Linked DNA regions of Drosophila melanogaster. The protein of the gene in region 1 interacts with the protein of each later gene in a pairwise test. Each region holds a gene or a part of one and is shown on either strand. Other genes may lie near its edges.

Region 1 (4,334 bases):
CAGTTAAGTTTCAAAAAATTCGCAATTAGCTGTTCATTTTCAATGAACATTTATTCATGTTCACTTCCCACACCTTTTCATTTCACATCTTCTTACACATCTTTTCTGATTTTAAATTTCACTTCCCGCTTTCAGCAATTCTTAAACTAATTAGTTTTTCTTCTTCTCACCATTTTATTAGTTTTTTTTTGCTGGACTAAAATTGGGTGTATACAAATTAAAATCTAATGCGGGACCTTTTTTTTATAATTTTTTTGGTCGCCACGCGAAAAGTGCAGCCTCAGGTTAGTTGGTTCGCTGATTGGGGAGTCACTGGAAAAGCGCCGTTACAGAGCGCCAAAGAGGAATGTCAAATTGGGAGACAGGGCTGCTAACCAATAATCATTCCAAGGTTTTTCCAACCCATTTCTGGCGGCTTATCGATACTAATTTGAAATAGTATGTATGTATCTCAGGATTTGCTTTACCTTTACTTAAATTATTATTAAAAACTATATAATATCATATTGAAAATCTTCAAAAGTTTAGGTGTCTTCAAAACTTGTTTATTTTTACAAATTCATATATTGACAAATGCACTCTACTTGAATAAATATTTTATGGCATCTTAAGTGTGAATTTCTTTTTTTAATTTCGTGCGAATTGAATTCTATCTCTCTAGACACCTACAATTGTGCTTCAAAATCTTTACAGACGAAATACCTTAACATAAACATAAAGTGGGACGAAAATAAATTCATTGAACCTGTGACACAATAAATAATCATCTAGGCATGCTAATCCTTGCGAAATCCGGGGGGCAGCGTCACATCGAAAACGATGGGGGCATTGTTGGGTAGGTAGTTGATGTCACACGTTGAGGCATTCACAAAGATGATCCTGCCATCGCTGGTGATGCCGTAGCCTTCGTGTACATGTCCGAAGACATGGTATTTCGGGCGCACTCGTTGCTGCACTGTGCTGAGTAGCTCCACACAACCGGCTCGTACGCCGGAACAGCAGAGATCGCCGTGACCCACGGGCGGCGTGTGGGTGACCAGGATATCGATGCCTTCCGGGATTTGATTCCACTTATCCAAACAGGCAGTTCCACGTGGAACATTAAAGGCCCAGCGACAGAATTCCGGTTGCCATGGCGAGCCATATATTTGAATACCCCAAATCTCAAGTAGTTCATCCTCCAAATACCGACAGTTGGTCAGAACATCGCGGACATTCTGCGTTTGCACAGCGCTCTCCAAGTTCTCCTTGGCGTTGCCCAAAGTGGGCAGATCATCGAGGATGGACATGCCGGTGTGTTTGCTGCTCGAAGCATGACTTTTGCTCTTCTGGAAAGGATGGGTGAAGGTTCTATCGAAGCTGAGCTCATGATTGCCAGCAATCACGATCTTGTGGCGATGGGGCAGTGCTCCAATCCAGGTGTTAAACTCCTCCACCTCCTCCAGTTGGCCGCACTTGGTAAAATCGCCGGCATGTATGAATATATCGCCATCTGGTATATCGAACTTGATGTAGGGCGTCAGGGAGTGCGTGTCGGACATGCAAACCACTCGTGCCTTGTTGGGCGCCACCGTGGTGGTCGGTGGCTTCATTGTCACCTTGATCACGCGCTGCGTTTTGCTAATCTCCCTCCAAGCGGCCGTGGGATCCTGGCTAAGTGGATGTACTGGCACTTCCATTTTGATATCTGCAATGGTGGCGTGTGAGGATTACTATGAATTTTCTTATGGAGAACTGGTTTGTTTACGTATAATTCAGCGAGGTATTTAAACACAGATACTAAATCTTTTGTTTAAGATAGTAAGAGCTATACATAAGACGTGGCCATGAATGTTATCTTACTAAGACAGTTCTTTAATTTTAAAGTACTGGGAATTATGGGTTTTTCGTGTGATTCGTAAATTTCATATATTAAAATATTCAATGCAATTACATTTGTGTTAAAAGGACAGGCACTTGAAAAAGATTTAATGAGTGTTGTAGTTAAGCCAATATAATTGGCGTACGTTCCAATTTAGGAAGCATTTGTAACTATATCTAAAGAGTAGAGTTAAAAGTCACAACTAATACAGGTAACAGCTTCATTTGTCAAATTAATACTGTTAATTCCTTTTACTTACTTTTAGTTATAAACTTTCCAAGCGATTCTTCCTTTTTTGCTTCTTTGCGCCTCGCCGACTTCTGATTGTTTTAGGCCATTGTGTTAGGCCTTTAAGCACACGTTGCAATCGCCGGCGACATGGTCGCGCCCTGATTAGTGCGCGTTTATTTATGTTTAGTCAAGTATTTGCAGATAAATGCGATATACTAATTTGATAATACCAATCAAAATACAAGAAATTGAGTGTTCACGCGTGACGTCATTGCCGGGGCAAAACAGCTGAGCGCCGATAGTGCAACGTAATGAAAAACGTAACGTACAATCGCCTATCGATTGGCAAGTTTCTAACGTAGCCCTGGTCAAAACAAAAATCAGCTGCTTTATAATTTTCTGCTTCTTCGCTACGCGTAAATTTTCGTCCAACATTTGCAGTAAAAAACGTTCCTAAAATTGGCTAAATCAAATTGGAAATAGTGTTTTTTTCGTGTGCATTTGTGTCAAAGAATGATAGAAGTGTTCTTTGAGTGTTTAAAAAGTGAAACGTGATTAAAAGCTGGAATTCCAGGCTGGGCAAGCAAAAAATGGCCGCAGCTGCAACTTTTGCAGACGCGTATTGTTTTTAGCCATCAATTTTTAATTACGGATTGTATTCGATTGCAATGGATCAATTAGAGCTGCAGGACGATTTGTTTGGTTTGGAAGCAGGTGTTGCAGGTGAGTTATTTCGCAATTTGTCGTCTCTTCTTAGTTTTCAGCTGCATAAGTGGCTATTTATGGGATTTAAAGAGCCTTCTGCGTGATTTTCTCGATTTTCCCTTTTGCATCGCGCAACTCTTGCGATTAACTGCACTTGTTCTTAGTTTTATGCTTTTGTTGCTAATTGCACACGCCCACTAATTGTTTGACTGTGTGCGCTGTTGTGTGTGTGTGTGTGTTATCTCACTGCATTTCACTCACTGCCTCGCCTCCTTTGTTCTCTCCCGCCCCTCCCACTTGGACCTTCACACACTTCACCTCTTCTGCATCTGTTTATCCGTTATCCATTTGTTTGTTTGCTTTGTCTTCCTCATTTGTTAAGTGATGATTCACTTTGATTGCCGGCCATCCACACGCACTCGTCATCTCTCTCTCTCTCTCTCTCTCTCTCGCCTACTCTCTTTCTCCTGCTCGCACTTGCACACCTAATCAAATTGAACAATTTATGGTTTTGATTCACTGTACCACAGTGGTGCAAGTTCTTAGTGCACAGGAAACGGTTTGTTTACTTTGAAAAACTTCTATCTTAAGGGCTTCTAAGTGCTTATATGTATGTACAATATCTTCACAGAGAGTCGCCGGTAAGTTTGGGCGTCTATGAAAATATTTACCTCTGCTCTTGATTTAGATCAAAGTGGGATTTTCATTCTAATTTTGGGTTCTTTGTTTACACTTGGGTATCGCAAATTTTGCAACAAAGGAATATAAAGCTACAAATATACGTACATACATACATACATATGTTTGCTTCTGGCTTCAATCGAAAAACTTAAATGCTTGCTTTGCGGCTTTGTCGCTAGGGAACCATTAGTTTTATTAGAAGCACTTGAGAACACATATAAGCATACATATATAAAGAGTTGCGACAAAACTAAGTTTAAAATTTAATGACTAAAGATATATGCAAAAATGATTGCATGACTATCTTATGCTTTTTTGCATGCCAAAGGTAATGAACACAAGCTGTGCAATAAATAATCTAGTATTTGTCTGAAACAAATAAGTCTTTGCCCACCGTTGACATAATGCAGTTTACATCTCATCCTTTGTCTTCTTTAATTTATGGTCTCAACGTTTTCCCTTTTTCCTTCTACTTTTTATTTGGCACACAGCAATTCCGAGATTGATTTACCGCCGATTTAAGCCGGTACGCGATCCGATTTGGCCCTATCTCAATATTTCCCCCAAAAACAAACCCGCCCACTCACTTCTACGCTTTTCATTCACAATCGCAACCAAAAAAAAAAAAAAAAGGCGGGAAAAACAGAGTGCCAAATAAACCTTGATAATGACATTCAGCGCCGAAAGAGGAAGAAAAGCAAAACAAACGTCTGGCGTCACAATGGGTGTGTTGGGATTTTATTTCCATTTGGTTTTGCTGCTCTTTCAGCAGCAGCACCACCACTACCATCGCTACCACCATCAGCACCACCTGGCAGTTATCCAACGGATTTTGTAGCGCAGTGTGGCAAAATTA
Region 2 (4,945 bases), on another chromosome or scaffold:
GCGTTCTTTGCCTTTTTGTTGCTGGCCAACTCCAGAGTAGCGTCTGTGGCCAGTTTCTTGGTCTTTTCCGGTTTACCCTTTTTCTTAACCACGCCCTCGATGCTGGCGCTCTTGTTCAGCGACTTGGGCTGCGGTTTCTGTACTTTAACCATATTATTTTTTGCTTTTTTGACAGATGCGTAAAAACTCGAGCAAAACTATATTTAAAATGCACCACAACCACACGTGCTACGCTTTAATATCGATATGTTCAGAATCGCAAAACGTAGCTACAGTCGATATCGGGAACTATTTTCATTACCGATGTCTCAGGCACGGTCACAACTTTAGCCAATACACACCCCCTTCGCAGGGCCGAGCACCAATAGCAGCTGTTTCACCAAAACCGATTGGAAAATTGACCGTTATAGCATATCGATTTCGATTTGTATCCCATCTCTATTTCTCCCTTAGAAGATAAAATTAAATTTTTTAATTTTGTAATGTAATATAGAAATTATGATGATGATTATATGATTGAGTATTTCTACTCTAATCCAACAAAAAAACAAGTGGCTACGTTACTTGCTTTGCTTTCTTTAATTAGGGTACTATTTACATAGCAAACAGTTATTTTAAGTAAATAATTCTAAGAATAGTCAAATTCCGCAAGCTGCACGCGTGCCTAATCGCCTCAACAGGACACAGAATGTCCTTGACTCACACGCCGCCACACACAAAGCGCCCACGCATCACATACACATACGATGGATCCGCGCACATGGAACATTAAAAGTACCGACACATGGCATCTCCCATGGAGCACCAAATTGGGGACTCCCCAGACACACAGTACATGCTAAAGATATTCTTGCAACAAGGATTGCTATGTGGGCATACGTGTGTGCTTGTGACAACTTTCTGGCACGTGACTGGAGACGAGAAAACTTTGCTGGCTTAAGGCAATTACAATATGAAGGAGTCCTAGCGTGTACGTTTAAAGCTTCAGCTTCTTGGCATCCGCCTTGGCGGTATCCTTTTTCGGTCGCTTTTTGGATGCTGTAGCCGCTGCGGTATCCTGCAGTTTGTGGAAGAAAGCCTTTGAGGACTTCAGAGCTCCCTGGTCGTTGCTGCTGGCATTGATCTGCAAGAAAATCGTTTAAAGTTTGATTCATTTAGAATTCAAAATCGCTCAAGAATAGCAATTAAATACAAAACATAAAACAGAGATAAACTAAAATGTTATATACCTTTTGAACATTGCGATTCTTGGTGATTGTCTTGAGCAGCTTGGCATCCGCTTCCTTCTTTGTGGGCGCCTTGCCCTCCTTGGCTCGCTGAAGCTCGCGCTGCTCCAGAGCCGAGTGGATGGCCCGCTGCTTTTGCTTCTTTTTGCGGCGCTCGCGGTTCTTATCCGTTCGATCGCGTTCGGTCTTGCCAAGTGGAGCGTGCTTGGGTCCGCGGAACACCTCCTCGGGTGCCAGCAGCTTGGCATCGCTCACCGCCAGCGGGGCCACCTCTTCCATGTGAACTGCTGGTGTGTTCGTTACGATCTTGATCTCCGGCGCCACCGGTTTCGGCGTGAAGTGGAAATTGGAGAGGGCGTCCAATTTAAGGAATAGGGAACGCATTGCCCGCTTGATTTCTTGGTGTTCTTTCGGTTCCGGACCAGTTTTGTCATCGGCATCGCGATTGGGATCGAGTTTTTCCATTTCGCGCTGATACTGCGCCTCGTAGATCTGCGACAGCGATTGTTTTGATTTCTCCTGGTCAAGCACAAGTTGTTTTCTGTACTCTTGCGGGGTGTTCACCGGTCGCACAGTGCGCTCCACATCGTCCCATGCTTTGTCGCGAATACGCTGCTTAATTATGTCCTCGATGGAGCGGTTATCCTCTTCCGTGATTGGCGCCGTTGGCCTGGTGGTCGAATCGAAGTCGAGAATCTCCTCAAGCAGTGAGTTCTGGGGCCGATTGGCTGCCTTTACTTCGCCTTTGAGCTGCCAAGGCTTCTCGCCTAGGACAATGTCTTCGTAGTCGCGGATGCGTTGAAACAAACGAGCCTCTCTCATCTCATTGGATGATTGGGACGGTGGCTCTGTGGGTTGTGGCTCCTCCTCTTCTTTCTCCGAATCCGAGTCTGAATCGCTGGCAGGTTCTATGCCACTTTTTGCCACGAATTCGGATTCATCTATTTCGCTGGCCGCCTCATCTGGATCTTGATCATTTTCAGGTTCATCATCGCCCTCGTCTCCTTCGCTTTGATCAGAATCGCCCTCTTTGGGATTTGCATCCTCATCCGGTTCATTTTCATTTTCACTCTCGTTTTCATTGAAGAAATCTTTCTGCTTGCCTTTGTTAATCTTTTTAGAATGCTCTGTCAGTTCCTCATTCATGTCAAAGAAGTCCGCATAGTTGACATTCCCCTCCTCATCGTCCTCCTCATCTTCGCCAAGACCAAAATCCTCTGCGAAATGATCTATATCATCGGCCTGCTCAACGCGTTTCTTGCTGTTCAGGCGGCGCATCTCCTTGGCATCCTCCTGCTCCAGGAACTCATTCATCTCTTCCAACTTGAAGAAGGTATCGTCCACCACAGAGTTGCGTAGTCGCTTGTTTCGTTTGTCTTTCGGCGGCGCGGTCTTCTGCTTTTGTAGCCCTCCATCCTCGTCGCTGAAGTCTGATTCCTCATCTTGTTCCTCATCGCCTGAGTCTTCAGCTTGTATTACTTCGTCTTCTTCCTCTATTTCTTCACCATCGTCCAGTTCAATGCCCAGGTGCTGCTCGCGCATCGCCGTCAGCCTGGCGGTTTGCTCCAGCACCTGTTGGAACACTAGTTCGTTGCGAATCTCCAGTTGCTGCCAGATCTGCTCCTCGTCCATTTGCTCCAGCACCAATTCCGGCAGCAGTTCCTTCTTGTTCGCCACATCCTCGCTGATGCTAACGGCGTATGTCTGCTGGATAAGCTGCTCGATGGCATTCACTTGTTCCGGCTGTGGCCTGAAATATAAATTGTTTTGACTACGTTTGAAAAAACACGTGCGCGGTCTTTGGAAGGAAAACAAACTGGAGAAAACGCTCTGGATTCTTGGTCAGCTGCTCGAAGTTCTCTGCGATTTCCTTGAAGACATTCGCCTCCTTGGATTTTTTACTTCCAATCATTTTTACTACTGCTTTCTGTGCTTAATTAAATGAAATATATATTCCAACAATTCGAGCGCAAGAGCGGGTCCAAAAACAACAACCAGTTGGTGAGAGATGGAACAGATACATAGAGATGAGCGCGTGATACAAGTACAAGTTTTTCCAAGCTTAAAAACTTTATGCGAGTTGGAATCCTGTTTTGAGCCAAAATTTGTTATTCCAAAAATAATAAATATATTTAACTTGAAGAAAACAAAGCTCTAAAAAAAATCATAATTGCTTACACAGTAGACCAGAAGCCGTATATCGTGACAAGGAAATCGATAATTTATCGAAGGCCTTTGCCACCACCAAGCCAGCTGTAGGCGGCTTTTTACAGGCGGAGTCCGTTCACAAAAACTATGCCCAACTAGAAGATGGATTCGAAGTTCTTTAAACTGCTCCTGCTGGGCGGCGCCGTGCGCTTCTACTTCTGTCGCACGCCGCTGGCTCCGATGATTGGCAACCGAGTGGAGTTCGCGACACCTTTAAATTCACACAAGCGCAGTAAGTAAACAAAGTAGACATCAAATAGATGAACAAGTCTGAATGGAGTTATTCTTGCAGTGCAAGAGGGGATATTTCTTCTACAGAGTGGCATTGATCCCTATCTGGGCGACCTGGTACACGAATCGCCGCTGATACTCAGCGCGCTCTCCGGATTGTTTCAAAAATACCCGCAGTTTCTGCCGATATTCTACATAATCCTGGATATCTGCACGGCGGCCCTGCTTTATGCGATGAGTCTGAGATTCGTCAAGCAAAAGCAGGATCAGCAGGACAAGGAGCGAAAGGAGTATGCCAAGGATACGGAAGAGCTGCAGTTTGGCCCGCTGGACAAGCTTGACATTCCGGAACTTGTGATCGTGGCATATCTTTTCAGTCCACTGACTGTTATGAGCTGCATTGGAATGACCTCCACCGTGATAAGCAATCTGTTCCTGGCTTTCTTTTTCTACTGCCTCGTGAAGGGAATGCTCATTCCATGCCTTCTAGTCCTCGCGTTCGAAACTGTCCGCAGCTTCTATCCCATTGTACTTATAGCACCACTGCTCCTGGTCTTTTCACGGAATTCGGTCAGGAGGGGTGTGGCTATAGCGGCGCTCTTTATCGTCAGTTGTCTAATCGTGGCAGTTGCGAACTATTTTGTGCTGAACAGCTGGAACTTCCTGGATGGAACGTTGGGTTTTATGTAAGCAAGAACTATCTTATTAGTTATCTGTTTGTATTTTTACGTATTTAACTATCTTACAGATTTTATTTCCGCGATCTACAGCCAAATATCGGTCTCTTCTGGTACTTTTTTACTGAAATGTTTGAGCACTTCCGCACCATGTTCCTAATCACATTCCAATTGAATGCCACCGTATTATACCTGGTGCCACTAAGTATTAAGCTGCGCAAGGAGCCCCTACTGCTAGCCACGGTATTGGTGGCCCTTATGGCCGTTTTTAGGGCGTATCCCAGCCTGGGCGATGTCGGCTTTTATCTGGCCTTGCTTCCGCTGTGGAAAAGATGTTGGAAATGTAAGTTATCTGGCTCACGTAGTTATTTCAACTGCTAAGCACTTTGGTAATTTCTTTCAGTCATGGCCCATGGCTTTGTGGTCTTTACGTTCTTCCTGGTCACTCTATCTATGATGGGAGCCCTTTGGCATTTGTGGATCTATGCAGGATCGGCAAATGCCAATTTCTATTTCGGTGCCACTCTTGCGTTTTCCACTGGGCAGATATTTCTAATCACCGATCTGCTGTTCGCGCACGTTAAACGTGAGTTCTGCTTGTTC

What was found.
Region 2: the proteins of CG16717 (region 1) and CG13097 interact in a two-hybrid assay, tested with the Drosophila melanogaster proteins (one large-scale study listed by BioGRID).

Annotation. Positions count from the first base shown.
Region 1 is NT_037436.4:9,677,253-9,681,586, reverse strand, and holds CG16717 (uncharacterized protein), read right to left. Parts: upstream 2,387-4,334; 5' UTR 2,121-2,386; intron 1,688-2,120; 5' UTR 1,680-1,687; coding exon 777-1,679; 3' UTR 527-776; downstream 1-526. Other genes in the region: alphaTub67C (alpha-Tubulin at 67C), read right to left, coding at 171-173; fry (furry), read left to right, coding at 2,761-2,815.
Region 2 is NT_033779.5:8,511,617-8,516,561, forward strand, and holds CG13097 (uncharacterized protein), read right to left. Parts: upstream 3,253-4,945; 5' UTR 3,139-3,252; coding exon 3,044-3,138; intron 2,977-3,043; coding exon 1,230-2,976; intron 1,124-1,229; coding exon 977-1,123; 3' UTR 558-976; downstream 1-557. Other genes in the region: CG13096 (uncharacterized protein), read right to left, coding at 1-152; PIG-U (phosphatidylinositol glycan anchor biosynthesis class U), read left to right, coding at 3,537-3,666, 3,727-4,351, 4,414-4,685, 4,746-4,945.